Linked DNA regions of Ovis aries. The protein of the gene in region 5 interacts with the protein of the main gene of each other region in a pairwise test. Links are inferred from orthologs where the notes say so. Each region holds a gene or a part of one and is shown on either strand. Other genes may lie near its edges. The genes, in order: DCDC2B, HIPK1, SAP30BP, GCM2, FHL3, PATL1 and SLC25A46.

Region 1 (4,467 bases), on a different chromosome or scaffold from region 5:
GGCCTGGGATAAGACGGGAAGCTGACAAGCATTTTGGACCCTGCTATGCCAGATATACTGATTTTCCCAGCATCCAATCTGGCATCAGGTCCAGCAACTCAGAGTCCTGAAGATCTTCATAGAGCCCAGATAAGCTGACTTTCAGACCTGGTCCTGGTCTGGCTGCTCAGTATCTGTGTTACCCTGAACAAATCACACCACTCCTCTGAACTTCAGCCTGTCCTCTAGAAAATGGGAATAGCAATCTTTATTTCACAAAATTATTGAGAGTATACAGTACAATAAGGTCAGAGCCTCAGTGGGAAGCTAGTCACTTCCTTCTTTCCCGCCCCCCAACAACACCCTGGGTCACCTACCACCTGCTTGTGGGGCCTGGACTTTGGACCTGGGGGATGCCTGCAATGAAAAAAGAGAAGGCTTATAGGGGGCAGAGCAGGACATGGACTCAGGGTGGCTTCCTTTGCTCTAACCTGCCTCCTCTCCCCCTCATATATACATACCAGCAGCCCCTGGGCAGTGAGGGACTGGACACCAGCAGCTCCAGATAGGGGAGGGCCTTGAACTCATCCTCTCCAACAGCCACATAGTAATGGCCGCTCATCAGAGCCTCCCTTGCTGACAGTGGGAGCCCATCCAGGGTGCAGAGCCTGGGAGAGAGGTGAGTACAATAAGGGCCAGTGAACAAGGTGGATTGATATTCAGCAGACTGTGAGAGGGTGGGTACAGTTCTTCCAAGGTGCCTGGCAGCTGCTGGTCCTCTGGGTACCAGGGCCAGTCCCCCAGGCTCCACCCTGGCTCCAAGGGCTGGGTTGGAAGGGCCTTTCCCTCTGGCACAGAAAGAAGTCCCCTTTGGGGAAACATACTTTCCTTTGGCCTTTTCATCTTCCAGGAAGGCCAGAACCAGTAGGGCGGCTCCCTTTGGGGACATTCGGGTTTCCGCAGTCCCCAGACTCACTTGCGCACAACCCCGGTCTGTAATTTCACCTTCTCCGTCAGGAGCTTCAACACTGCTTCCCAGTCCTTGCTGGCGGCCTGGGACAGCTTCAGGCTGAACGGAGGACTTAACAGGTCCCCATTCCTGAACACACTGGGACAAAGAGCAGCCTGGTAAGGGGAACGGTCCTCAGAACTCCTTACATGTGAGAGGAGGATGGCACTGGGGCCAGAAGACAGTCAGACCCAGTGCATGGGTCCCCCTTCACCCAGTAAGCATGTTGGACTTTTCCCATCCCTACCAGTCACCAGGAGCTCCTGGAACAAATCCACCTACTTTTCCTTGGCCTCACTGAAACAAAAATCTATGCCCCCGCCTCCCCAACACAGGCACTCACTGGATGTAGCAGGGGGAACCTGCAGGTAGCTGCCGTCCAAGGGCCCCATCACACAGCTGCCGAGTCATGGGAAGACCCTGAAACCCATCAGGTCCCCAGGTCAGGAACGCACTGAGGCCTTTGGTCAGGGGTAGGTCAGTCTAAGGTGGGTAGCATGAGGGAAAGGAACCAGACGGGCGGAAGAGAGGGTAAGGAGGGTGGGACCGTCACACCTTTTACCACAGGGTACCTCCCTAAGTCACATTCTTAACCCCCTCCCATCCCTCTGTTTTATAGCGTCCTCTTTCCTCTGAGGACCACAGCCTGGAGATAAAAGGTTGCAAAAGGTGCAGGGAACAGCATTTTGAAATCCTGCACCCTGGGAAGGCTAGCAGTTGGCTCCAGAGTAGGTGTGGAGAGCCGCAGATCCAGCTGCTTCTGGGGCCCCTGACCTCCCAGACCAAAGTGGGAGCCGTCCCAGAGGAGGGGGAGAACAGAGGGCTGGGGGCTGGCCTGCCCCAGGACTCACTGCCAGTCTGCTGCTCTTCCCACCTGGATCCTTCCCTCCAGGGGGTAAATAGCTGAAAGGACAGAGAGGTCACAGGTCATCTTGGGGAGCCGGGGGAACTCAGCAGCCCAGCAGCTGCCAGAGGGCGGGGCTGGGGCCCAGCTCACCAGGTCTCCCTTCCCAGTGAAACAGTCTCAAGTCATCTCAGTCCAGAAACAGATGCTGATACTTGAACCTGCCTTAGGCCCTGCATGTATCAGGCTGCACATCCAGTCCAGGGCACAAACCATATAATTAAAGGTCTAAATCCTTCTGTATCTCAGAGAGATGTTCTCCTTCATGGGGTATGTGGTTTCATCTCATTTTGTATGAGACAGAACAAGGACTCCCTAAGTAACATGGGAGTGACCAAGCCCAGATTCTAAGTCTGTCTAGCTCCCAACTCCTGGCTCCTTAGGTTACAGCGAGCAACCTCTCAGCTGAGAGTGGAGGAAGACCTGGAAGCCAGATCTGAGTTGGAAGCTCAGACACTGAAATTAGTCTCCCATCTTGGAAAGCACAGCCACACCCTGTAAAGGGTGATCCCAGCCTACTGGAGAGCACGGGATGCCTATGGATGGATTTAGAGTATTTGGTGGTGGTGGTGATGGGGGTGATAAGGATCCCATCAGGAAGAGCCTTTGGAAAAGGGGGCTCAGCTAGCATGAGAATGTTCTTCTTCCCATGGTTTGGTCCTGGCTGGATAGGCATGATCATCAGCGTCAGACTCTTGACTTGAACAGTGGTGCCACTTGTGTTGTCTACTCCTAGGCAGCTTAGGACTATCCTGATTTACCCTTCCAAAGACTGGGGTAAGACCACCCGCCTTACAGGACTGTTAATGTCCCATGAGTGAGCTACTTGGTCAGTACTGACTGTTGCTGTTGCTATTACCTCCCTCCCCAGGCTCTTTGACCACCCCCAGCCCACTCACGGGAGCTTGTGGAAATGTTCGAAACCCGCAGCCACATACAGCCCTCCGTTCTGCAGGTCTGCCAGGTCGGTGACAGGGTGGCCATGACAAGGGGTGTAGAGAGCACGCACAGCCACTGGGGCCCGCACAGCCGATGTCACCTCACAGAGGAAGGTCTCCAGGGTGGGGAAGCGGCGTTGAGTCACCACCAGCTGGCGGCCTGGGGAGAAGGGGTCCCCATTCCGGTACACCACTACCTTCTTGGCTGCTGGACTGCCACTGGCCATTGTGTGTCTGTGGCTAGAGACGCAGAGCTGTTGCCAGGCAGCTAAGACAGGGTTGGGAGCAATGCCAATCAGAGGTGGAGTCCTGCCTTTTTACCCAGGAAGGCAGGGAGAGCCTCCGTAGGAGCACCTGTCTGCATTCAGGGTCTCCGGTCTGCTCTTGGTGGGGCCTCACAGGAGTAGGGTGGGTCTGGTCATGAGGTATGAAGGAAGAGCCAGGGCTCAGTGAGAGGGGCAGTGGCAGAGATCACACTGAAACACAGGTGTTCAGTACTGGGTCGGGGCAGGGATTCTCAGAGCCTCCCCGCCACTGTAGCCCAACAGCACTGGGGGGCTGTTCCCCAAGGATGCTAGTCTGCTCCTGGGCTGTGGCTCTCAGCCAGCTCTGGAGAGGATGCCCCATGTCAGCAGAAAGTGAACAGGAGGTCCCAGAAGCTTGTCCTGACCAGGGGCAGAAGACAAATACAACCAGGCTCAGAATCTAATGAAAACCTTTATTCTCCATCTTTATTTATTCTCAACCTTTATTCTCCAACTTGACTTGCCCCAGGTTGCTCCCTATCCCCAAATGTGGGTTGAACCACAGGCAGAGGATGAAAGTAGCCTCCTACCTTCTTCCTCTACTGATGCCAGCTCTGTGCTCCAGCTTCTCTTGGCCTCACTAGCCACCAATACCCAGGGGCAGGGGCAGGAGGTACAACTGGAACCAGGGAGCTAGGATGAGGTCCTGTCTCCCTCACTGCCCTTTCATAGCATCGCCCTTTGGAACCCGGTCCTCCCTGGTTCCCCAGGGTCTAGCCTGCTGGTCCTGTTTCCCACTGTCTGCCCCTCCAGTGATCCTCTCTTGTGTGGTCTGACCCTGTGGACAGTTTCTCAGGGGGCCTTGACCTACATGGTACAGTCCTCTGGTTTTGCCATCCTTCATCGCTAGATTCACTGGAGGTTCTATCTATGGAGCTTTTATCACTGGGGATCTGGCCCTTGGGTGGTTTATTCTTCCAGAGATCCAGGCCACCATGCTCTGCCAAAGACCCATCCCAGGTGACATGGTCCTCTGAGACGCCCAACTCTCGTGGCACAGCTCTTTGCCAATCAGGCTCTTTCTGGCATGGCCCCCTGGGAGAGCTGTCTTCAATGTTTGGGTCCTCATGGAGTGTGGACAGCTGTGTCCTGGCCTTTCCAGGACAGGAGCCCTTAGATTTGAGCTCTTTGTGGCTTTCATCCTCTAGAAGTGTTGTCAGCTGCAGGCAGGTCTCTCCAGAGATCTCTTCTCCACAGTCCTGCTCTTTGGTGAGCCTCTTCCCTGTGGCCTGGTATTCCGATGGTGCGGGCAGCTGTGGCCCAGGCCATCTGTAGGATGGGTCCCTGTACTTGGCCCCAGCAGCTGTTTTATCTGGAGTGGCCAGTCTTTCT
Region 2 (4,491 bases), about 79 Mb from region 5:
CTAGTATGTGCACAGGACAGTCTATAATATCTATAAAGTTAACAGTAAAGAAAACTATACCTCAGTTTCTATCATAAGAAAAACGGCAAATTAACAAAGCATAGACCAATATGAAACACGAACACTAAGAGAGGACCTTTAGCCAGAAAGGGCCTAAGGAAAATAGGACTCAAGTAAGGTAACAACAGTCTGACAGATGGAAGGCAGATGAAGGTCTTACAGATGAAAGAGCTAACTTGAGAAAGTATTCCAGGGGATATGGAAAAATGAAAAGCTGTTTAGAGTATTTGACTGGAGAAGACACTGGCAAAAAAAAAGTACAGGGATTCTTGCAGCTAAAATAGAGCTTAAAAGACCCTTTCTAAAATGCCCTAGAGAAAAAGTAGACCCAAGAAAGCCACACAAGTTTTACCCAGAGCTAATTAACAGTAATGCTGTCAAAAAATTCAGGTTTTCTGATTCTTTTTCATTAAGTATGGTGGGAAAGCATTGTCCCAGGCATCCTTAAAGAAGCCAAAAGAAATGCACCCAAGTTTCCCTGTCTCCAAAGAACTTAAAATGTTGCTTAGTTAGTGTGACACATAAAAAAGAAAAATATAAAAACAGGATGTAAAAATTTTTTTAAGTGTCAAATTATGCTTTACAAAAATACATAAGGTATTTAGGGAGCTGGGAGATTGGAAACAAAAAATAAAAACAAAAAAGGAACCAAAAAGCAAATCAATGACTGTTGAAGTGGTACTTGAAAGAAAAATTATTTTGATGACTTCTGTTCAGAATGGCATTACATTTAAGGGAAGACACTGGGGAGGAATTAATAACTGTAACTTTAAAAATTATGGATTGCTTTATACAGTCATGAAAATAAAAGGGCCAATCAGGAAGTTCATGTTTGCAAAATTACCTCAAATTACAGAAGAACCAGTTACAATATATAACTAACAAGTTGCCCAAGTTCCAAGTGTAAGAAGTTCATAAGGCAGGTTTGGCTCACTGATTTCTACCAACAGAACCAATGACTAAGCTGTGCTTATGAAAACCAAACCACAGAAAAAAAGAATTCTATTTTCCAGAGAATTGTGGATGTTGAGATTATCTTTTTTTTTTTTTCCCCCCTGTTAGTAGAAAGTTCTGGTTTGGTTTTCAATCTCAAGTTACCAATCAACTTATTCTGCAATCCATAAAACTACAGTGTCCAGATAGAATAAAGATATCGCCAGCGAAAGTCTTATTATTAACCAGAGTCAGTATATTTACAAGATCTCATTCACCATTTTACTGGTAAAATGCTTTACTAGCCTGACTGCCTCCAGTTGCAACCACAAGTACCTTACCAAAATATTCTTCAAGCCAGGGAACAGTGTCTTAAAGTCAATGATATCCTTCTTCACACCATCATACCAGTTCTACAACACAGAACCCCGAGATTATTACATGTATCTCCAAAATCACCAGCTGCATTAACAACAACTATATAAAATGACCTGTTAGTATATTTTTTAGATGTTTTACAGAAAGCTTTAGACCTACATATGAAAAAGAGCTGGTAATGATTTGCATTCTCTATAATCTTAAAAAAAACTACACTACAGACCAGGAATCAAAAATAGCTTTACACAAACAAGAGCAAAATTGTAGGTTTTGCTGAGGGCATCAGCCACTTAATTTAACCCCATTTCATCAGGAGCAGGAAGCCATGCTGCTGTTTTCATCAGTTACTAGGAAACAAATAAGATAAAGGAAGGATTGGGCAGAAGAGTCTATAGCTGAAATTAATAATTTGATACAGTGACTGAAAATTCCCAAAGGAAAAAAGCACCTAGAGCTGCCTCAAAAAAGAGAATCTGCAACATAATCAATGGTTTAATTGGAGAAAAGACACACTCGAGCTTGGGGCTGTTTTTTCCCCCCTTCTCTAGCCCCTCCTCCCTTCCCCCACCTAAACAGGAAAGAAAGCGCGCCCAGCGTAAACACAGGCCAAACCTCACGGTTTGTCACCACAACAAACTGGAGGTTAGACCAGTGCTCTTGGAGACTGAGTCCCAGGTCTCGGTTGCTAGGCACAAAAACGGCCTCTTTCCCACAGACCTGTGAACACCGGGGCGGGGGTGGGGGTGGGGGACTGGGGCGCGGAGGCTCACCCAAGAGTTTTGGTGGTTTCCTCCCACCCCACCCCCGAGACTTTTTTTTTTTTTTTTAACGAAAGCTTTGGCAAAGTGGCGACAAACAGCAAAAGTTTCCCTTTGAGCCAGACTTCTAGATCTACCTAACACAGATATACATTTAGGTTGGCCGGTCCCACGGAGTCTCCACCATCATCACGATTTACCAAGCTAACGATTAAAGAACACAAGCGGAGAGGATAGGAGGGCTTCCACACCCACCCCACCGCCGCCGTCCGTTCAGACACCGCTTCCTTGTCCCCAGCAGCACAGATAGCCCCAAACCAAGGCGCTAAGCAGAGCTGTGAAATTCACACGCGCAAGCCATACAGTGGGAACCGGCCACGACACCCGAGGAAAAACCGGCCGGGTGAGGAGACGCCAGGCGGCCCCCTGTCATCTGAGGACAACACGCCCAGGAGAGAAGTGGCAGGACGCAGGAGGAGTTGCCCCGAAAAGAAGCCCACAGCCTCCCCACTTTCTTGGGAACGCCATCCCCTCCGCGGCCGGGCCGCAGGGCTTGGCGCCGGGTCCCGGGTGGGGGCTGCCGAGGGAGGCGCCCCCCGCAAGGCCGGGCGCCCCGGAGAGCCCGCGGCCAGCCTGGCCCCGCCTCGGGGACCCGATAGGAGATCGCTCCCCGCCGAGGCCCCTGCCCGCCCGCTCTCCCGCCTCGACTCACCGCCGGTGTGTCTTCTGGTTCTCAGCCGCGAGCTGGGGCTGCCGTGAGGAGGCGGCGGAGGAGACGAGATCCGGGGCCCCGCCGCCGGGTCATCATACCCCCTGCGCGAGCCGGCCCGGGCCCCGGCCCCCGCCCCCCGGAGCCGTCCCCGCGCCCGTCCCGCGAGGGGAGCCTTCTCAGCCTCCCGCCCGCTCCACCGCCCGGCCCCTCTCCGCCGCCGCCGCCGCCTCAGACCCGCGCGCTCCCTCCTCGGCCTCCCGCTGCTGTCCGGGGCCACCGCCGGGCCCCTAGCTCCGCAGCCGCGGTTGTCGCCAGACCCGACAAGCTGAGCGCCGAGCGTCCGCCCTCATCCGGCCCGCCCCGCCTCACGGGAACTAGTCCCGGGTCCCGCGCCATGACACCTACTGAGGCGGAAGTCCGGGAGAGCGGGAGGATTACGACGACCTCATATTACGGGTGGGAGTGGAAGTGGGAGTGAGTGGACCTCCGTGGGGAGCCAGTGTGGATCGAGTGCTGGGGCCATCTCCCCGCCCCCTCCGCACGGCCAACACCGAGGTGACTTAAAGGTGCCTAGTGTCGGTGTGAGGTCCAGGTTTAAAATGTCATCCCCGCTAGTGTGACATCACCACCGCCTAGTGTGACACCTCCAGAGATTGAGCAGCGCGCGGGGAGACAGCTGGGGAGGAATGACCCAAGTTTAGGCTTTAATGTTTCCTCGCTATCTAGAGACGTTCTAGCTGCTTGGCAGAGGTGTACGGGATCTGTGAGCCTCCACGCCCATTACGGCCCCCTCAGGGGGCTCTTCCATTCCCTCCTAGGGAAGCTGGGTTTGCAACAGGAGGTGAGAAAGAATAGCTGTACTCTGAACCCTACCCCTCAAGCGCTTCAGTGAGCTCATACTACCATAATTTTCTCTCCTCTACCAGGAGATAGTAAAACCGGGTGTTCAGGAAAAGGAATGCAACGTTCTGGAAAAAATAAACACTGCCTGAAAACTAGGTTATCCTAAAAGAAAGACAGTTGCCATCTCCCTTGGCCAAGAGATTCTGAAAGTCTTCAGATATACCTCTTGGTGTGTAAAATGCTCTGATTCCTAAAGTGTGGGACATTTTTAGGCAGACAGTTTATTTTTTTCCTTCCTACAAGTTCTGGAGGCAGCAAGGATCTGAGCCCTAGAAAGTGATTGTACAGACCTATGGTATTTACTTGCATATACTCTTTAAGGGGGCTTCCCAGATGGCGCTAGTGGTAAAGAATCCACTTGTTAATGCAGGAGATATAAGAGATGTGGGTTCCATCCCTGCATCAGGAAGATCCCCTAGAGGAGGGCATGGCAACCCACTCCATTATACTTGCCTGGAGAATACTGGAGGAGAGAGGAGCTTTGTGGGCTATCAAGGGTGGTAAAGAGCTGGACACGACTCAAGTGACTTAGAATGCTGGCACTCTAAGGAGAGGGCAGATACAGCTAAAACAAGATTATACTATCAGGTTACATTCCTCAGGTCCCAGTCATTTTACCTCTTTGGGTTTTGTTTGTTGTTATTTTTCAGTCCCTAAGTCATGTCTGACTCTTTGTGACCCTAGGGATTGCAGCACCCCAGGCTCCTCTGTCCTCCACTATTTCCCAGAGTTTGCTCAAATTCATGT
Region 3 (3,778 bases), on a different chromosome or scaffold from region 5:
ACAAGGGCAAGGGCAGCTCTCGCCCTGGGCTCTTTCCTGGATGTGTCACTTGCTTGAACGTTGGAGAGAGTGAGACCCAGACACAGGTCTGTCTGTCAAACCTGCATAGAGTCAACAGCTTTCTAGAGGTAGGAGGACCTGGGGTGACCATCCAGACAATCCCCTCCTCGTACAGCTGAGGACACTAAGGCCTCAGGTCATGCTCTCCAGGAGGAGAGAGGGAATGAGAGCCCAGGCAGGCCCCACCCAGCCCACGTCTCGCGGCTTCCCCTCTGCACCTGCTGCCTGGCTCTTCAATGGCAGACGAAGCCTCAGTGAGGTTAACGCAGTCTGGGTGATGGTCTCTCTGGGCTCAGCTGGGATCTGAGCCGGGCTTCTCCCTGCACCTCTCTGGAGGCATTCTTGTCCCCAGTCCAACATCACTCCTCCCACCGCCCCCCTGCTGGCTCATGGAAAACTCACCTAGGATTCCGAAATTCCTTCTTCCTCTGGATAATGTAGTTCATGTCCATCCCCTCCTTTATCTTCCGCTCATACAGCTTCTGGATCTTGTCCTACGGAAGGGAGACAGAAAGACGATGGTGACGGAACCTCTTGCAATCCCAGCCTGTGGTCACGTGCTGTGGACACGAGGACCTGGAGGAGCTGAGTGAAGCCCTGCTCCGGCCAGACGGTCTTCATCCACCCAGCGCAGACGAGACAGATGGAGACCAGCCTGCTTTCGCTGTGCTTTCTCCTGATCCCCTCTCGGTGGTCAGCAGTGGGAGGAATAAGAAGGTGGAGCTAGAGAAGCCATGGCGAAGACAGTGAACAAACCCTCACTTGGGAATCAGCTGCTGAATCATCTGAAGAGGAGTTTCAAGAGTTAGTGTTGACAGGTGGGGGCTGAATGCTGGATTTTAATTTTAACACGGGGTTAGTCAGACCCAGCAGGAGACCTGGGAAGGCAGGAGGAGAGGTGTCACAAGCCTCCCCAGTGTCCTCTGAGGGGAGGCTCACTGCTGGCCGGTCCTTGCCACTTTACCAAGAGGCATTGCTGGGGGTCAAGAGCCAAGCCCTGCTCTGGCTCAATGGGAAACCAGAGAACCACCTGGCGGGGTCCAGGCCAGTGTAACAGGTGTCCCCAGGCCCACAGAGATGATGCTGGCAACAGATGGCGTCAGGGCTGCCCAGGGAGTTGAAGAGGCCCCAGGAACCCGAGCCTCAGGGCAGGGCTACCTCTGAGGAGGGGCAGGCTTACCCAGCGAGGCTGGCGCTAGCCCAGGGCAGGGTCTCTCGGCAGCCTCCCCTACTAGTGGCAGCTAAACACAGACTGTCCAGGAGGAAACCACTTGGAGTGCTCTTCACCTGCAAGAGGAGGTGGGCGGGGGGCGGGAGGGGTGGCTCGCCTGAGCGAGGTCCTCTGGAACATTAGGAAAGGTGACTCACTCCTGTCAGGAGTCAAGACTGCCCAGGGAAAGCACTGAGCTGGGGAGAGAGGTCTGTAACACGCTTGCCAGGAAGAGAGAAGCCGAGCGCATGCCTCCATGTCCTCGCTCTGTGGGTGATGGAGGCAGGCCTTCCCGGGAGGCTCAGCAGGTGGAGGCACCGCTGTATCTTACAGATGACTTCTCTGTGTGCCCTCGGCTGTCAGGCTGGTTCTTCTACCTCAGGGGAACTAAAACCTTTGCTCATGGTTTCTGCCACTAGCAGGATCTAAAAAGGAGAAACATTTTGATCTTGAAGGCTGGGGCTGGCTATCTCTGCCTGGTGGCTGCTGGACTGTCCTTACAGGCTGCGGCTTGCTGCCTGGAGTGTGAGCGACATGGGGCCGGGGGTGGGGTGCTATGTGGTGGTGATGGGGAGACGACTCAGCAAAGGGAACGGATTTCCAGGAAGAGAAGGGACTGTGTGCTGCAGCCCTGCCCCGCTCGGCACCCACCCAGGTGGCCGCATTCCAGCCCCAGGCCCCGTTAGTCACCCCTCAGTCGGCATGTGCGAGGGCTTGCTGTGTAGCCAGAGGCCCCACTTGGGGGCAGCCATGGGTGTCTGCCCTACTGTAAGGTCCCCTTCAAAGGGGAACACGCAGAGGGACAAGGAGAAACCGCCACTGAGGCTGACAGGGAGGAGTAAGGCCAGCTGTTCCCTGTGGGCCTGCTCCCGAGGTGACCGCACTCCACACTCCATCTCCGCAAGTCAGGGATCATCAGACAAGAAGCCCATGAACTGCCATTTCAGGAAAACGAGGGTTGAAGTGTACGCATTCACATGCTATGCATTTGCATTCCTACTTGTTTCCTGAACATTCTGATGACCCCTCAGGTTCTTAGCCAAGTTCCTTCAGAGACATTCCCTGAGCTCAGGGATGCCCAGAAAAGGCATGTTGTTTGCTCTGCTGGCAGTGTCCCGGGGCAGGCAGGGGCCCGGCTGAGGCTGCAGAGGCAGCCGGGGCTAGGGCGCCGGCTCCTAGGAGCGGCCTAAGCGAGGTCACCAGGACTGCAGGCTCCTTCCCACTTGGGCTGTTTCTTTTCCAGAAGCCACTTAAAGTCAGACCCAGCCAGACACCTGCCCAGTCTGCACGGGCCTCAGCAGCTGAGCGTGTGCGTACCTGTAAGTGGTTTGAGCACCGGCCGGGGGGTTCCGGAGGGATCTTGATCTCATCAGGTGACATGTTCCGGACTCTTTCAGAAAAGGAGGCTGTGGAGAGAACAGAGGAGTTCTGTGGGTGCGCGGGAGGGTCAGGGTGGGGGCCCGACATGGACAATAAAAAACCCTTCAAGACAGGAAAGGCACAGAAAGCATTTTCAAGGAGAGATCACACACTATAAAATAGTAAAACAGGGCATGCGGAGTGGCTCTCGGAGGGTGCATCTGAGTTGAACTTAAATGACCTGAAGGAACCGGTAGGTGCAGTGGGGAAAGAAGTTCAGGCAGAGGTCATGAGCGGCCACATCACAGCCGGGCCCAGAGGAAAGACTGTGTCCTGGGGGTGCTGGTGAGTGTTTAACACCAGCTGGGAAGTGGGAGAGGCAGACCCACGACCCGCAGCATCTGCCCCTTTCTCTGGTGTAAATTCTCCCGTCACGGCCAATCAATTTCAAGCTACCAGTGTGAAGTCATGAGCTCAGGGCTGGGAAGACATGCACACACGGCTGTGCCTCCCACGGGCTCTGCCCCTGCCACACCCTCCCAGGATCCCGGGAACTCAGAGCTGCTTGGTGCTGTCCCCCCACCTCAGGCTCTGCTACCCAGGGTCCACCACAAGCTCAGGGTTCCCTGGGATTCGGGACTCAGCATTCAAAACTGCTTTGTACATAAATGACATCTATTCAATACAAAATGACCTGCTGGTTATTAGCTTTGGGTCCTTCAGCAGTAAACCAATCAACCCTCACTCGGTCCACTTCACTCCTGGGAACAAAAGGCCTGATTCTGCAGTGAAGACCCACAGCTCCCAAGGGACAATTCCCTTGGCGATGTGCCCCTGCCCACCCAAGTTTCTCTCTCCCTCCATTCCCCTCCCTGCTGCCTCCGGCCACTCTGGCAACTGCAGAGTCGTGCTCTGGATCACCCAGACAATATGCTACTTGTTGTAAGACTCTGTCTGTGCTTTTTAAGACGTTCGCTCATGAAAAGGACTATACAATGAGCAAACAGCAGGCGGAGCAGGGTGGGGCAGGATGAAGGCAAAGAATGAACCACCCAGCACCACTAACACCCAGCAAGTACTCACTGGGTACCCGACATGTGCCGGCCCTGGCGGGACTCTCTCAGCCCCCAAGCGGCCGCCTGGACTGCC
Region 4 (4,366 bases), on a different chromosome or scaffold from region 5:
ATTGTTGGTGTTGCGCATGGCCCAGCCGCTCAGGTGCCGCTGCGCCTTCCTCTCCTCGCTGCTGTAGATGAGGCGCACATAGCCGTCCGGCCACTCGCAGAAGCGGTCAAAGTGGGCTGGCTTCTGCAAAGGCGTCCAAGGACAGCAATCAAGTTTATCCACCCCAAACCCCATGCAGCAAGCTTTTAATCTTCTCCAAGCATATCAGGATGAAAACTGAGTCTTTTTAATTCCAGAAATACTGTAAAACCCAGAAGCTGCGCTCTTACAAAATGTCACTCATTGTGTGTGTGTCCCCTTCTGACAACTGGCTATAAACTGATGCTTCTATACCACTTCCTACAAAAATGGTACAGGTATTAGTTTTAGCTTTCACACTGCCCACAGACAATAGGCGCAATATTGTCCCTATTTAACTGAATAGTAAACGGAGGCCAGAGAGCTTCATCGACTTGCCCAAAGTCACACAGCTAGTAAGATCTGGCTGTAGGATTTGAGCCCACACAGTTTGACTCCAGAGCCTGTCCTCCTTACCACCAGGTTATACCACTTCTTGGTGTATTCACATGTTACAAATATTTTTAAGGTAAGTATTAAAGTGCCAGGGCAGAAAGTGGTTAGAAAGTTCTTCACTGATATACACTTGAGCCTGTATCTTTTCTTCCATCCAGTGGTTTTTCTTCCAAAGCTCTTGGCTTGATACCCAGTACAACATGAGAGAGACAAGAACAGCTTCCCAAAGTAGCCTTCCAGGTTTGCATGTATACGTGCTGAGTCACTCAGCCGTGTCCAACTCTTTGCCACCCCATGGACTGTAGCCCCCAGGCTCCTCTGTCCATGGGATTCTCCAGGCAAGAATACTAGAGTGGATGGCCATACCCTCCTCCAGGGGACCTTCCCTACCCAGGGACTGAACCTGCGTCTCTCTCTAATGTCTCCTGCACCAGCAGGCAGGTTCTTTACCTCTACTGCCACCTGGGAAGCCCAGCCTTCCAGGTTTACAAGGGTATTATGATGACAGCCTGGATATAAGGTAAACCCGAGCACTTGGTGGAGCCTGCTAGGTCCTGGTCCTCTCTCCAGAGCAATATGGATTGTCATTCTCCTACACAAAGAGCTGCCTGGCTAGAATAATGTGATATCTAAAAGAATGAACACCGCTTTCCTATTCATGTTTGGTGGTCCTTGTCCATATTATGCATTATTTATACTGCGATGTCTTTCTTGTTATAAGTTTAATATAAAATTACCCTTTCCTGCACACTCAACTATTTACCAGCTACTCTTTATGGCAGGGGTCTGCAAACTAGGGACCATGTGCCTAATTCAGCCTCCCACTTGTTTTAGTACAGCTCACAAACTAAGAATGATTTTGACATTTTTTAATGATTGAGGGGACAAATCAAAAGAATTATATGTTGTGACACGTGAAAAGTCACACGAAATCCAAATTTTGCTATCCACGATGAAGTGGTATTAGAACACGGCCATGTACATTTGTCTACGTTTGGTCTGTTTTCACACTATAGTGTCCTAAACATGCACAGGATGAGAGTTTAAGACCGTTATCTAATTCCACTGCTTAATGACAAGTGAGTGACCCTAGACGAAGGCAAATTCAGGATGTCACAATGTGACAAATTCAATGTCACACTGTGAGTGTAGCCCTTTCTCCTTGGGTTAGCCGGAGCAGGACCCTCGTTCTCCAACCCAGAGCACCTGCCTCTTTAGAGACGGCACACTCACTCTGTTTAAGGACTAATCTCTCAGAGGATAAGTTCTTCACATTTACATGGGAAGTCTAGAAAATGCTTGTGAGGGAACCCATCCTTCCCTTATTTGGATATGGCTCTTTTCTAAAATACAAGAACAGATTCCCCCCAGCCCCCGTGGGGATTTACACGGACAGAGGTCAGTGGGAAGGAGATGCCGCAGCTGTACTGTGGTCCACTTTCACAGAATGGTGCAGTGTGACCCTAAAGTAGGCAGGCTTGAAAACAAACAGATTTCCATGAATGTGTACCCCAAAGTACTTATCTCTTTGAGAGGCTACCCAACGTTGCTAATGAATTGCTGTCCACCTGAACAGCTGTATGGCACATAATAGATGCTGAATAAAGGTCAAGTCTCTCTCACCCCTTGTACCAGGGCATTGCCAGAAGTCCACCTCTGCAAATGTTTCCAGGTCATTCCTAATTCTCCTTCCACCTCCACCCAGGACTTTAAAGTCACTCTGCAGTTTTTGCTCCCAACCACTGTGACCAAGCATAATGGCCCAGCCCATTCTGGGGACTTGGCTTGAGACACCTTCTTTCTGTTAAAAACTAAAACAAATTCGCCCTAAATTCACCCTAAACAGATGACACTGATTTCCTCCTCACTAGAGAAGTAAGCTCAGAAGTTGTGTCCAAAACCTGGATTCCAGAGGCTGTCTGGGCGCCTGCGACCTGGTTAGCGCGACTGCAAAGCCCCTCAAGAGCCACGCTTCATCCTAGCAGCCAGGATAAATGGCCCAAGTCCTGCTGTTTAAGATTCGGTCGCTGCAATTTATGGTCCTATCTCAGTTCCGCTGCGTGAGAAGAGGTGGCATCTGCATTCACCAAGATGCCCCTCCACCTTTCTAGTGGATGTCGAAGAATGGACAAGCAAGAGTCAGCGGATTCCTACCTCAGTTAAAAGAAAGTGGGGGACGCGGTGTCAGGCTCCCGGCGGCCAGACGACCTGAAACGTGGAGCCTAATTGACGGTTCCTGCTGCTTTCTGTGTTTTCAAAAGGGTTCGAGGAAACAGGTGGGAGAAGACAATCTCTAGCCCCAGCTCCGCCATTTGTGGAGTCCCTGCACATTGGCGGGCTCTCAGGGATGTGTTTTTTTGGAGGGAGGAGGAGGGTAGGGCGGCCTGTCCACAGGCTCTGCCAAGACATCCCTCCTCTTTGGAGGGAGAGCGGCTCGCGCAGCGGGTTTCACGCACCTGCGGCATCTGCGGGTCGTTGATGTCCCAGCTGAGCTTCATCCCGTAGGACCACGCGCAGTCCGCCAGCTGCCCCTCCGCCGCCGGCATCCGGTTCTCCTCGCGGGCGCTCCCTGCCAAGTGTCCTGAAAGACACAAGAAAAACAAACCAACCTAGAGCAGCCCAAGGTTGTTTTCCCGCTGTTTTAAAAGCAAGTGGAGAGAGAGACAGACAGAGAGGCCGATTTAGAAATGCAGAAGCGGCGGACAAGGGCTCGGGGCGGTTCGGGTGGAGCCCTGTTCTTGGTGGCAGTGCTGAAAAGTCTCCACCTGGAGCACAGCGCGGGCGCCAGGCAGCTGCCTGCTCGTTTATAAAGGTGCTCCCCCCACCCCCGCCCCGCGGCCCCGCGCGCTGTGCTCCGCCTTTCCTCGCTCCCCGCCCGCCCGCTCCCACCCTCCAGGGACCTGCAGGGCCGGTTCCCCACTTCCAGGCAGGGCGAGGGACGGAGGGGAGGTGGACCTGAGGACTCAAGGTGACGGGAAACTGAAGCCTAGACGGGCCAGAGTCGGGGGAGGTTGAAATGTCTAGTTAAAGTTGAAACTCATGTTCATTTTCCTAACTGCGCCCCACCTCTGGGGTTTCCTACTGGATCTAGAGAGAGGCTTTTGAGACAGAACCTTTCCAGCAAAATGCCCAAGAGGTAATACTCAGTCCCCAGGCAGTTCGGGAACCACCTCTAAACGCCTGGGCGGCCGCGCGCCCTTGTCCGAGAAGATGCGCGCCTACTAGCTTTGGGGCGCGTTCTTTTCGGGGATTTTGTTCCGGCTGATGTTGCTGTTCAGTCGCTCAGTCGTGTCCGACTCCCTGAGACCCCATGGACTGCAGCATGCCAGGCTTCCCTATCCTTCACCATCTCCCAGAGCTTGCTCAAACATGTCCACTGAGTCGGTGGTGCCATCCAGCCATCTCGTCCTCTGTCGTCCCCTTCTTCTCCGGCCTCTGAGTCTTTTCTAATGAGTCAGTTCTTCGCATCAGGTAGGAAGGGGGAAGGGGAAGGAGGGGGGGAACTCTGCGGCCCCCAAGCGCCCCAAACCTGTATTTTCTCTGCCGCCTTGGCTACTTCTGAGCCTGTTTTCTTTCTGCTAGGAAAAGGATCTGAGGCTCGGAGATTTCTCAGTCGCCATCCACATGAAACGACCCTTTTAAAAAATAGTATTTTTTTTTCCTCCCTAACCGCGTGGAAATCGTCGTGGAAATATCACAACAAAATCGTATTTACACCCATTGCGTCTGCAGAGGCTCTGGAGACTGGAAGAACCAGGTGAGCGCATAGGGCGCTGTGGGCTTCCCAGGGCTGAGACCAAGCTTTCTTTAGCTGTGCGCCCACTTCCTTAGGGTGATTGGAAGGGCCCAATAC
Region 5 (2,829 bases):
CAGCCCGCGCCGGCCGCCAAGGCGCACGAGTCGGGCTCCGCCAGTCTAGACCGCGGAGCCCACACCGCAGGCCGCCGAGAGCGCAGGGGCAGGGGAGCCGGACGCCGGGAGAGGGGAGCAGCGCTCCGCCCCATCGCCTCATTTTGGGGGACAGCCCCCCAACCCCCCACCCCCGGGCTCATTCCCGCCCCCGCCCTTGAATCACGGTGGGGCGGGGCCATGACCCATTCATGCCGGGAATCGGATCCAGATGTTCCCGCGGCGCGTGCAGCTGCGTCCTTGCCTTTTTTGGCAAAAAACGTGCAGCCGCGAGCGGATCCCGGGCCGCCTCCGCTAATCCTAGGAAAGAGGGGGAAGGGGGCTGAGGGTCTGGGCCCAGACTCGGGATTCGCACTGGATGCTCCGTGGGGTTCGTGGGGGGCTGTTAAGGGAGGGGAGTGACTTGTACCTGACGGAGAACCCAACACCAGCCGCCCCCGCGCCGGCTCCGGTCCGCAAACTCCCTAAATCCCTCCCTTCCTCACTGGAGGAAAAAGCCCTTTGCCAGCAGGCGGGGGAGGTGGAAGGGAGGCCGGCTAAACCAGAGAGGGACGGTAGCGGCGGCGGGGATCCCCTTTCTCTGGAGAGATTTCCCACCCCGCCTGGAAGCTTCCTTCTGTCCTGCGGGGAGGAGGTGGGAAGAGCCTCCGAATTCCCTAGCTATGGCGAAGGAACCTTCCTTGCCCCTCCACCCACCTCCGCCCGCTCCCCCTACCCCCAGCCAAACAGAGGCCTTCACTTTCTCATACTGCTTTATTGCAGAATCTGAAACGGGGGCAAGCCAAACCCACCCCTCTGCCCATCTCTGGGCAAAATGGAGCTGAAATGAAAAGAGAAAACACAACACGGGATGGGCAAAAACCTGTACCCTAGGACCCCCTAACCAGTGCTGCCCAGACAGCCCCATCCTTGGGGATCCCAGTGGGACAGGGGTGGGGAGCGTCAAGCCTGAGTATATTTGACTTTTGAGGACCTCTCAGGCACCCAAAGGAGACCTAAAGTCTTTGTAGACAAGTCTACATTGAAGGGGGATTGGGTCCCAGAGCCCTGATTTGGAGAAAGGGCTTGGTCTGGGAAGCAAGCCCGACCCAAAGGGAGAGGACAGAGTTCTGGAGTTCAGATTTGAGGAGGGGGTTTGAATGATGAAGGCTCCGGGAGAGCCCAAGTTTGGGGGCCCTGGGTCAGGAAGTACCAGATTGAGGACGCTGGAGTGGGGAGGCTGAATCCTGGAACCCAAGGGGAGCCCCAAACTGGGGAAAGGCTGGGTCCCAGAGGCGGTCTGGAGGAGAAGCCTTAGTCCCGGAGCCCTGGCTCAGGGCCCTGCCTGGCTGCAGCCCTGGCACAGCACTTGGTCTCCATCCGGCACGAAGCCCTGACCCACCAGGGAGGTGGAGCAGCGGGCGCAGGAGAAGCAGCTGTGGTGCCAGTGGCGGTCTTCGAAGGACACATACTTGCCTCCACCGAGTCCTGGAGGGAGGCTGAGGATTAGTGCTGCCGTCTGGAGGGCGGTCCTGTCCCTTGGCCTCATGGAGACCAGATCCCCTGCCCCCCCCCGCCTCCGCCTACACCCGACCCATTCGGTCTTTGGACCCCCTGACCCACCTGTGATGGGGCGCTTGCAGCTGCTGCACTTGGGTGCAAAGAGTTCTCCAAAACAGGTCACACAGTAGGGATCGTCCTCTCGGGAGGTGAACTGCTGCCCTGCCAGGGGCGTCTGGCACCCAGTGCAGACCAGGCATTCTCGATGCCAGGGCTGGTCACGGTATGTCACGCCACCCTGTGTCAGCGTCTGTGGGGGCAGCCTCTGTCAGCAGAGGGGGAGGCGTGGGGATTCCCACCCCGCAACAACAGAGCCTTGCTCACCCCCTCCCCTGAGTGCAGTGGAGCTCCACGCCGCCCCCACCTTGCTGCAGCGGGCGCAGCGAGGAGCAAACTTGTTCTCATAGCAGGGCACGCAGTAGTGAGCGCCTTTGTCGGGCACAAAGGAACGGGAGCCCAGCGGCTGCTCACAGCCGCTGCACAGGAAGCAGTGTTCATGCCACGTCTGGCCTCCATACTCCAGCTTCCGGGACCCTGTGGGGGACAGGGGTCCCGTCAGAGGCTGTGTCCCAAGCTCCTGAGTGCCACCCTCTGCTACCCTCCAGGAGGGTCCCTGCTGCTCCCGCAGCCTTGAAGGTGGTGTCCATGCATTTTCACCAGGGTCCCCACCTCGTATGTTGCACATGCTAACTTTCCCCCAACACCAGACATGCTGGCTGAGCATGTGACCTGAGGGTTTGGCCTAAGTGAAGTCCTCACATGTCCCAGAATATGATGACCTCAGCTGCTACCAGGCCTCCAGGTGATGGGCGCGATGACTCAGTGTATGCTAAGCAAGCCCTTATACACCAGATGTGATAGTGTGAGCACACACACAGAGACCCCATCTACGAGGCAAGCGAGTCTAACGTCTAGGACATGATAGATTCAGTACATAGGAAGCCCGGCCATATCCTCATCATGCCTATCTCCATGTTCTAAATCCTCACATTCTATCAGCCATGCAGGTCGCCACACGTGTTAAGTCCTCTATGTATCTGTCTTTTCTGTCTTTGCACACAAGCCCCAAGGCAACAAACACTGACAGTCTCAGTACACTATGTGTGCCAAATGTGTTATTTCCCCAGGTGTGTGTCATGCGTGTCAGTCCTTGCACGTGCTAAGCTCCAAAGAGCAAACAGGCACAACAGATCCTGCACACAATTTCCAGGAACCTGTGGCATGGGCAGTTCTTTATCAAGCCTCAGACAG
Region 6 (3,778 bases), on a different chromosome or scaffold from region 5:
CATGGATTTTTGTAGTGAATTTTTAGGTCTGGAGTAAAGACTAGAGAACATAGGACCTCCTGGCAGTCTAGTGGTTAAGACTGTGCTTCCACTGCAGGGGGCTTGAGTTCCATCCCTGGTCAGGGGAACTAAAGTCCCCGCATGGAACACAGCGGGGCTTCCCTGGAGGCTCAGCAGCAGAGAACCCACCTACCGTGCAAGGGACAGAGGAGACGCAGGTTCAATCCCTGGGTCAGGAAGATCCCCTGGAGAAAAAAGTGGCAACCTGCTTCAGTATTCTTGTTTGGGAAATCGCACGGACAGAGGAGCCTGGCGGGCTGCAGTCCATGGGGCCACAAAGAGTCGGACACGACTCAGCAACTAAACAACAGCAGGCCATGCAGTGGGGCCAGAAAAGAGAGACTGTGATGATCTTCGTTGAATGCTGTCTGCCTGTGTTGCTGGGTTTTTACTTGTTGGCAACTTTTTGTCCTTGCAGTGCAGTTTGAGGGCTCTTTGGGAAAGCTCACTGTCTCTAGTGTGAATAATCCCCGAAAAATGATTGATGCTGTTGTGACGTCTCGGAGTGAGGATGATGTAAGTAGCCACAGAATTGTGTGTTTAAGGAAGTCTGGGTCAGCACTGCTTCTTTGACGGTCCCTGGGTTGGGATCCTAAGGCAGCCAGGCAGAACCTGGGGTGGCAGGAGCCTTTGAACTGGCTCCTGCCAGGTAACCCTGGCCACAAACAGCATTAGCTGTTTGTTCCAGCTTTTAAAACTATCATTTTCTGTGTGCTTAAGATTTTCCTATGGTATCTTCATTTTCCATTGCATTCTCCAGTACCTTTTGCTCCTCTGTGAACTTAGTTACTAGTTCATGTGTGGGCCCTTCAGTCAGCTCTGTGACCTTTGCCCCCATTACTTCTGCCTGATTATTAATCCCCACAGTACTGTCACAAATAGAATTACCTATGGAATTTACCAGCAGTAAATAATTCTTAACATGGTTAAAGAGTTCATATTGAAAAGTCTTTTCTTTTTTTTTAGGAGACAAAAGAAAAACAGGTTCGGGACAAAAGACGAAAAACCCTTTTCATAATTGAGAAAGTAAGTTTAGAATTGCCAAAGGTGCTGTAGTTGGTTTCAGCTTAGCAGACTGTGAAATGTGTGTGTACGCGACACGTGGGGAAGTAAACAGTCGGCCAGTGTCCTGCGATTTTAACTGATGTACATGTTTGTGCAAAGTGCCTGTTGTGTACAGGGCATGCTGGAAAGGAGTGTGGTTTACCTCGCCTGTGGCCTCGTGGAAAGAGCACTGTAGTTACAATCAGAAGTCCTGGGGTTTTGTCCAGGCTTGTTCAGTTAGTGGCTGAGTGTTTTAGGGCAGGGCATCTTTCTAAGAAAATGAAGAGAAAAATTACACTGTTCTGCCTGTGAATGGATTGTCTGTTCAGTCAGTTCCCGTATGTTTATTGACCATTCCCTGGGTGTTGGGCACTGTCCTGGGTTCTAAGGAAAATCAGTAGTAGGCAGTTAGTGTTGAACCATAAAACACCATGTTGTGGGGCATAGAGTATAGGCGTTAAGAGCACAGACTCTGAGAACAGGCTCCAAATCATTTCTCACCAAGTCTGTGACTTGAGGCAAGTCATTTAACCTTTCTGTGCCGTCTTTGGTTTTTTAATCTTTGAGAATGAAAGTGGTGAGAGTCTCCTCTCACTGGGCTGTGGTGAGTATTCCATGAGTGAGTATTGGCACGGTGCTTAGAGCGGGGCCTGGCACCCTATAGTCGCTAGCTGTTTCGTTTTCACAGATAGAGGCATCACGGGACGCGGTGGCGTGCATTGCTCACGTTACTAACAGGGCTGCTGCTGGAAACTTTGGGAAGTGGATAATCGTGTCACTACCATCGCCTGCTGGATTAGTGGTCAAGAAGGGGCAGGGAGCGATTCCTGAAGGGTGTCTTCTTCCTGAGTTGTTTGACAGTGTTTCTCTGGGTTTAAGCGAGCAGGTTTTTCCTCTCACTCTTCTGTGAGCTTCCACTCTTACGTTGTTGTCTGCTAGTCCTGGACGGCCACGTTGTGCACCTCACGCTGAGTTTGCTGAGGCCCGCTTTGTCTCTCCCTTAGACCTACAGTTTACTGCTTGATGTGGAGGATTACGAAAGGCGTTACCTCCTAAGTCTGGAAGAAGAGCGACCTGCCCTGATGGATGAAAGAAAGCACAAAATTTGTTGCATGTACGACAACTTAAGGGGGAAATTGCCTGGACAGGAGAGGTGAGAATTGTGTCCTTTGGTGAGAACATTAGTCTCGCTGGATTCCTTTGAGCTTTATATATCCTGCCTTTACCCTTCCTTACCATTTCAGTAAGCTCACTCCATAGAAAACATTTTAGAATCCTTTTGAGCCTGGGGTGGGGGAGGGGGTGGAAATCTATGTATCTTGAATTCATTCATTTAGCAAGTACCTCTTCAATACCTATTAGGAACAGTGCTGGACGCTGGAGACAGTGGGAAACATTTAGTTTCTTTTGTTGAGCTTATAGATTGTATCTAGTTTATGCTTACTAATGTTCAACCGTGTAATCTTTATGTATTTTCTTTCCTACTAAGATGGAAAGTGTAAACATTCATGCTTTCCTGGGATTGCCATACAATTCTTATTTGCTGTGGAAGCCAGTCAGTCTTCCAGTGAAGACTAAGCTTCTTAGTATAATTTCTCTGTCTCTCTGTCATCTCTCTCCCACCCAGTATCTGGAATAGAATCTTGCTAATGGTAAATGTTCCAGAAATCACAGTATTTATTTGATGAATGCAAGAGGATGCTCCCTTTGTCTTTGCCCATTCAAGAGAATTGATGATTCTTTTTGAAAAGGACCTTCTTTTTAGCACATCTTTTCTGGAGTTGGACTGACAGGGAGCTTGGTTGAATAAATCTGGGTTTCTCCGTAGATTGGACTGTTACGTAGCCAGTAAAATCTGTAAAGTATTATGTATTGCCATGGAAAAGTGTTTATAAGTTTTTGAGTGAAAAAAGTAACAAGCCATATAAATTATATGGATCCCCCTTTTTTAAAAATGAAAGATAAAAATATATAATACACAGCAAAAATGCCTTCAAAATGATAGCACTAGTGAATTATCTCTGAGATTATGAATATTATTAATACATGTATATTTCAGATTTTGCTGTTTTAACCATGTCATTTGTGTCGTTACTTGAAAGTTAATAAAGGAAATCAGTGCCTATGGTTAGATTAGTTTTTTTAATGTACAATTTTTGAAATGATTTTCAATATTCATGAAACTCAAAGAATTTACTTTTTATTATTTGTTGAGAGTTGGTAAAGTAATTCTCACTGTTTTGTAGTGCAGATCATTGCAGGGTGCACACGAATGCAGTGTGTTCATCTGGCAACATGGAGGAGGAGAAAGGGGGTTTCTGCGTTGCTGTTGCTGACCCGAGCTGGCCTTTTCTTCCCCGCAGCCCGAGTGACGACCACTTTGTGCAGATCATGTGCATCCGAAAGGGGAAGAGGATGGTGGCCCGGGTCCTGCCTTTCCTCTCCACAGAGCAAGCAGCGGACATTCTCATGACAACAGCCAGGAACCTGCCTTTCCTCATCAAGAAGGATGCGCAGGATGAGGTGACCCGCCATGTGGGGTCCTCTTTCCCTTGGGTCTTCACAGTGGATAAGATTTCCAGAAGCCAAACTTATTTTCCCCCCTTTTCCCTTTTGTGTTCTTTTACCTAATCTTTGGCTCCATGAGTATTTAAAGCAAAAACTTTACTCCAAG
Region 7 (4,392 bases), on a different chromosome or scaffold from region 5:
GTAGGTAAATGCCAAGAGCTACTAGTTTTCAACTTCCAACTAATTTTTTTTTCTAGTGAGGACTCTGACTGATAACTTTCATCAACCATACCTCCTGTATTGTAATCAGTCATTCACTGTGACTGGTGGAAAGTATCTGTGTTACACCAACAGTTGCAAGCAAAACATCCCATGAATATAATTAAGTTGAAAGAGCACTTAGGGTAGCTGAAATGGGGAAAAGAGGCTCTCTTCTCAAGTTTTAAAGACTTTGATGTGTTGTTCTTTAGTTGCTAAGTCGTGTCCCACTCTCTTGTGACCCCGATGACTGTAGCCCACCAGGCTCCTCTGTCCATGGGATTTTCCAGGCAATACTGGAGTGGGTTGCCATTTTCCTCCAGAATAGTTTGATAGTAGCTGCTTAATTCCTGGAGAAGGATATGGCAACCTACTCCAGTACTCTCGCCTGAAAAGTCCCAGGGACAGAGGCCACTTGACACCCTGTAGCCCATGGGTTGCAAAGAGTCGGACTTGACTGAGTGACTGAACACGCAGCTAAATCAGGTCTCTGTGATACACTACTGCGCACATATGTGCTGCTGCTCATGGCACAGTTAGAGTCTGATCAGGAGGGTTTACAGCTGGGTTTACAGTCAAAAGAGAAAATAAATTTTTCCCTAACTGAAAAACTTAAAATCATAAAGATGAAATATCAAACCCCAAGAGACTAGACATTAAATTTCAGCTAAAATATTCACAAGGGATTTTTCTCCCATTCTGTTTTCACTCCCCTCTTCTCCAATCCCTCCCTCTCATCTCTGCTCTTTCTAATGAAGTGATGCCCTCACTATTCCCTGAGAGGCAGAACAAGACCATGTAAACAATCTCTGGGGAAACCACCATTGCCTTGAAAAATGTACAAGGGCAGAGGCTTCTTTTGCCCAATTAAGATACTTTCCTCCTTTCATCTTTTCCCTTTGTGTTTGTACAGGTCATCCAACAAACGAACAAAAAAATACCACTGACATTCTCTGGAAGGTGTCAGGAAGGCTTACTAGTATTAACTAAGTCTCCCAGGCTTCTATCCTCTTTGCAGAGTTTTTCATCAGCTTCTTAACTGCTGCAAAACACTCCATACAAAACCCTGGATATTAAGATCTCATTATAACCATCAGCGCATAAATTATGAAAAGATAAAACGTCAGCTTTACTGCCTGAGAAGGTAACTGTGAGGCAATCACATGCATTCTGAATAATTTATAACTTTCCAGTACTCCTTCTGAGACCTATGGGAAAAAAACAGAACTAGACAGAGTAAAAACCTAACTGTACACATAACACTGAGTAAGTCACTGATCCTCCATCCATCCTCACTGGATGACGGTACGATCTGTTCCTCCCCGTAACCCAAATAAATGTTACTGTACTTCCTAGTCGAAGAAACGGGGCTAAAATGTATGTCTACAATGTACATCATACTTAAGGATGTGATCTATTATTCTAACACTTTTAGACGGGAACATGCAGCAGCCATTATCTCCATTTTATGACTCCAGACGATGTTGAAAATATCTACATCACATAGGGTTGCAATTAAAACATCTGTCTTCTGACAAGGAGGCCTGGCGTGCTGCAGTCTATGGGGTCGCAGACTCTGACACGACTGAGTGACTGAACTGAACCGATCTTCTGACATTGCACAGAATAATTATGTCTTGATTCCAAATTCTTATCTTGAAAATGTCTTCAGTGTTTTTCATTCTTTAGTGGAGTTTTTAAGTAAAAAAAAAAAAGAGAGGAGGTGGGAAAACATAGTAGTGGTTTGGGATCTAGAACACAAACACAACTCCTATGATTACATGGAAAAAAGACCGACTTTTAGCCTACTGTGTGGTCCACACTGTTTCAGGCATTACTGACACCTCATTCTGTTTGTAGGGTTTTTTTTTTTTTTAACAAAACCCTGAATTATTCTTCTATACACCTTAAAGATGAGGACAGTAAGAGAACACAAAGATAAGAAAGTCTCAGCTTTTAAGAGTGGTAGAGAAAGCTCTGAGCCCAAGACTGCCTATGGTCTCGGAGAAAGTTCTTTGCACAGCGCAAAGCCACCACTGATCAATGGAATGAAGGTGATACAGCGGACGGTCAATCAGCTATTTCTCATGTGAGTCCTCATAAACAGCAAACCAGTCTCCTTTGTGGATTCAGGGCATGCGAGGTAGCATCCCGAAACCTTCCGTGATCGCTGCCACGCCAAGGCTACGGCAAGCCTCTCCAGAAACCACTGGAGTAGGGAGAGGGCGGAGGCCTGCTCCGGGGGCAGAGGGCGAAAGGAGCGCCAAGGGGCGGCGCGGCGGGTCGCGCCTCCGTGGTCTGCGGGCGCCTGGCCTCCGATCACTCTCCCCGCCCCTCCAGCGCCCGGGGTCCCTCCCTGCGGCTCCGCGCGGACCACCCCGCCAGCCCTCCGAGGCCTCCAGGCCCTCCCCGCCGCCCCGCAGGCCCTCCCCGCCTTCCCTCCGGCGCCCGCCCCTGCACGCCGCCCAGGCCCTCACCGCCGCTGCGCCCCGCGCCGCCGGGGCAGGGCCCCTCCGCCGGGCCCTCGGGCGGCGTGCAGGGGGCGGGCGCGCCGCGGGGCGGGCTCTCCTCGGCCCAGTGCAGGTTGCGGCTCCCCGGGATGTCTGGGGGAGAGGTCACCCAGCGGCTCAGGTCCGACGCGGAGCTGAAGGACCTCGCCGGAAAGGCGCCGCCGAAGCCCGGCTCGTCCCGGGCCCCACCCCGGTAGCCCAAGCCGTCGAACCCGTCCGGGCGCCGCGGATGCATCGCGCACAGGGGCAGGATAAGGCCAGCCCGCCCCGGAGCCCGCCGCCACCCGGGCCACACAGCCTCTCCTCAGCGGCCGCGGCGCCCGGGCAGCCTGACACCCGGAAGTCACGCCGCCAGCCCGGACGTGCAGGGAGCACGTGACCCTACCGCTTCCTGCGGCCGCGGGAGGCGCGGTTGCTAAGGAAACGCGGCGGCACACGGAGCGGCGGCCCGCGGGAAGGATGCCGGGAGGTGGGAGGATGCCGGGAAATGGGAGGAGCTAGGGGTTTGGAGGGAGGCCTCTGATCGGGCGAGAGGAGCCTTCAGCTAGAGGACGCGCGGTTGGGCGTCTCACCCGGAAGTGCCTCGCCGCACACAGGGGCCCGAGGTCTATATTTCTCTCGCGAATGCCCCGCCAGCCACGAAGGCGCTCTTGGAGGTTCCAGTTGCCGGTGTCCAAAGGTCACACCTGGCTTTCCCTCCGGTACTTGGCGCTCCGACTGAAATCTACTGAGATGCCTCGTTCGGCCCAGTGAACCCGAAGTCTGTGGAAGGCTGGAGCAAGCCTTAGAAATGAAGGTCGCGGGAGAAAGCTCCTCGTTCCTGCCCTCCTGGCTCCACCCCAAAATACAAACCGTTCTCCAGGACTTAGGAATTAAGCATCTTCCTTTTCTAAGGCCACAGAACGACTTCGAATAGTTACTGTAGTTTTGTTTTTTTTATTTTGCCTCGTGCTTCTCAAGTCAGGGGCATATTTAAATCCCAAGCGATACTGTTCAAAACCGACACCTAGTTGAAAATTAAGAGGACTTCTAAAAGAGTCATCTACTACCTGTTTTTATTAGCTCCATGGGCTGTTTTGGCAGCATGTGTCTCCTTAGGTCTCAACGAGCCCAGCATGGGTTCTTCCTCGGTCCTTTCTTCCCCCGGCCGCCCAGGATTCTGAGGGCTTTCAGAGAACTCTGACGCACTATTCTCAGTCTTCCACGAGCGAACCTTTCTTTTTTTTTTTTTTTTTCAGAGTAATCATCAGCTTCGTCTTGAGTGGACTGACATTCTTGAGTTGTAATGTGGCTGGGAAAATGTATTCTTTTCCTTAGTAAGTGTATTCAGTATTATTCCAACGCTAGTACCTAATTACTGGATATCTAATATCCAGTTAGTTACTGAACGTAATAAAGATATATCTGTGTTCCTTAAGAATGATGGCTCAAGATTGGGATTGGCTCAGGTCCAAAACTTATTGTTTATTAAAAGGAAGAGAAAAAGTCCTCTCTGTGTGTGTACATATATATACTTGTCATATAAAAACAAGGGCATCTCACAACTTCACATCTATGTCACTGGAGAAAGGATGGCTTATTAAAAGGAGGATAACTGGGTAGCCGCTTGAGAGGAAGAAACAACAGCCTCACCTCACAACCTACTGTTATATGAATTCCAGCTGTAATATATTGCCTTTTTTTTTTTTTTTTAGCTTTTGAAGATTGAATATTGAAAGAATACTTGGTGAATATTTTTCAGATAGTGGATTGGAAAACTTTCTGAAGGTGACAGCAAAGTCAAAAGCAGTGTAGAGAAAGAGTAATCAACTTGACCATACAAAAT

Evidence for each region.
Region 1: the proteins of FHL3 (region 5) and DCDC2B interact in binary tests that used the Homo sapiens proteins (3 or more experiments, as listed by UniProt). The two-hybrid records come from large-scale screens. The link is inferred for Ovis aries from reciprocal best matches to the Homo sapiens genes FHL3 and DCDC2B.
Region 2: the proteins of FHL3 (region 5) and HIPK1 interact in binary tests that used the Homo sapiens proteins (3 or more experiments, as listed by UniProt). The two-hybrid records come from large-scale screens. The link is inferred for Ovis aries from reciprocal best matches to the Homo sapiens genes FHL3 and HIPK1.
Region 3: the proteins of FHL3 (region 5) and SAP30BP interact in binary tests that used the Homo sapiens proteins (3 or more experiments, as listed by UniProt). The two-hybrid records come from large-scale screens. The link is inferred for Ovis aries from reciprocal best matches to the Homo sapiens genes FHL3 and SAP30BP.
Region 4: the proteins of FHL3 (region 5) and GCM2 interact in binary tests that used the Homo sapiens proteins (3 or more experiments, as listed by UniProt). The link is inferred for Ovis aries from reciprocal best matches to the Homo sapiens genes FHL3 and GCM2.
Region 6: the proteins of FHL3 (region 5) and PATL1 interact in binary tests that used the Homo sapiens proteins (3 or more experiments, as listed by UniProt). The two-hybrid records come from large-scale screens. The link is inferred for Ovis aries from reciprocal best matches to the Homo sapiens genes FHL3 and PATL1.
Region 7: the proteins of FHL3 (region 5) and SLC25A46 interact in binary tests that used the Homo sapiens proteins (3 or more experiments, as listed by UniProt). The two-hybrid records come from large-scale screens. The link is inferred for Ovis aries from reciprocal best matches to the Homo sapiens genes FHL3 and SLC25A46.

The regions. Positions count from the first base shown.
Region 1 is NC_056055.1:235,318,208-235,322,674, forward strand, and holds the start of DCDC2B (doublecortin domain-containing protein 2B), read right to left. Parts: upstream 3,069-4,467; 5' UTR 3,058-3,068; coding exon 2,792-3,057; intron 1,892-2,791; coding exon 1,840-1,891; intron 1,409-1,839; coding exon 1,332-1,408; intron 1,088-1,331; coding exon 956-1,087; intron 648-955; coding exon 501-647; intron 397-500; coding exon 357-396; intron 1-356. Other genes in the region: IQCC (IQ domain-containing protein C), read right to left, coding at 3,849-4,467.
Region 2 is NC_056054.1:91,246,869-91,251,359, reverse strand, and holds the start of HIPK1 (homeodomain-interacting protein kinase 1), read right to left. Parts: upstream 2,867-4,491; 5' UTR 2,842-2,866; intron 2,808-2,841; coding exon of another isoform or gene 2,431-2,807; intron 1,407-2,430; 5' UTR 1,335-1,406; intron 1-1,334. Other genes in the region: basic proline-rich protein-like, read left to right, coding at 2,431-2,807, 2,867-3,319.
Region 3 is NC_056064.1:55,228,951-55,232,728, forward strand, and holds part of SAP30BP (SAP30-binding protein), read right to left. Parts: intron 2,677-3,778; coding exon 2,588-2,676; intron 555-2,587; coding exon 463-554; intron 1-462. UniProt on the Homo sapiens protein: Plays a role in transcriptional repression by promoting histone deacetylase activity, leading to deacetylation of histone H3.
Region 4 is NC_056073.1:44,530,378-44,534,743, reverse strand, and holds the start of GCM2 (chorion-specific transcription factor GCMb), read right to left. Parts: upstream 3,060-4,366; coding exon 2,970-3,059; intron 124-2,969; coding exon 1-123. UniProt on the Homo sapiens protein: Transcription factor that binds specific sequences on gene promoters and activate their transcription. Through the regulation of gene transcription, may play a role in parathyroid gland development.
Region 5 is NC_056054.1:12,739,433-12,742,261, forward strand, and holds the end of FHL3 (four and a half LIM domains protein 3), read right to left. Parts: intron 2,113-2,829; coding exon 1,943-2,112; intron 1,829-1,942; coding exon 1,352-1,828; 3' UTR 774-1,351; downstream 1-773. UniProt on the Homo sapiens protein: Recruited by SOX15 to FOXK1 promoters where it acts as a transcriptional coactivator of FOXK1.
Region 6 is NC_056068.1:81,413,979-81,417,756, reverse strand, and holds part of PATL1 (protein PAT1 homolog 1), read left to right. Parts: intron 1-478; coding exon 479-576; intron 577-1,026; coding exon 1,027-1,086; intron 1,087-2,108; coding exon 2,109-2,257; intron 2,258-3,467; coding exon 3,468-3,627; intron 3,628-3,778. UniProt on the Homo sapiens protein: RNA-binding protein involved in deadenylation-dependent decapping of mRNAs, leading to the degradation of mRNAs. Acts as a scaffold protein that connects deadenylation and decapping machinery.
Region 7 is NC_056058.1:107,227,330-107,231,721, reverse strand, and holds the start of SLC25A46 (mitochondrial outer membrane protein SLC25A46), read right to left. Parts: upstream 2,926-4,392; 5' UTR 2,803-2,925; coding exon 2,535-2,802; intron 1-2,534. UniProt on the Homo sapiens protein: Transmembrane protein of the mitochondrial outer membrane that controls mitochondrial organization.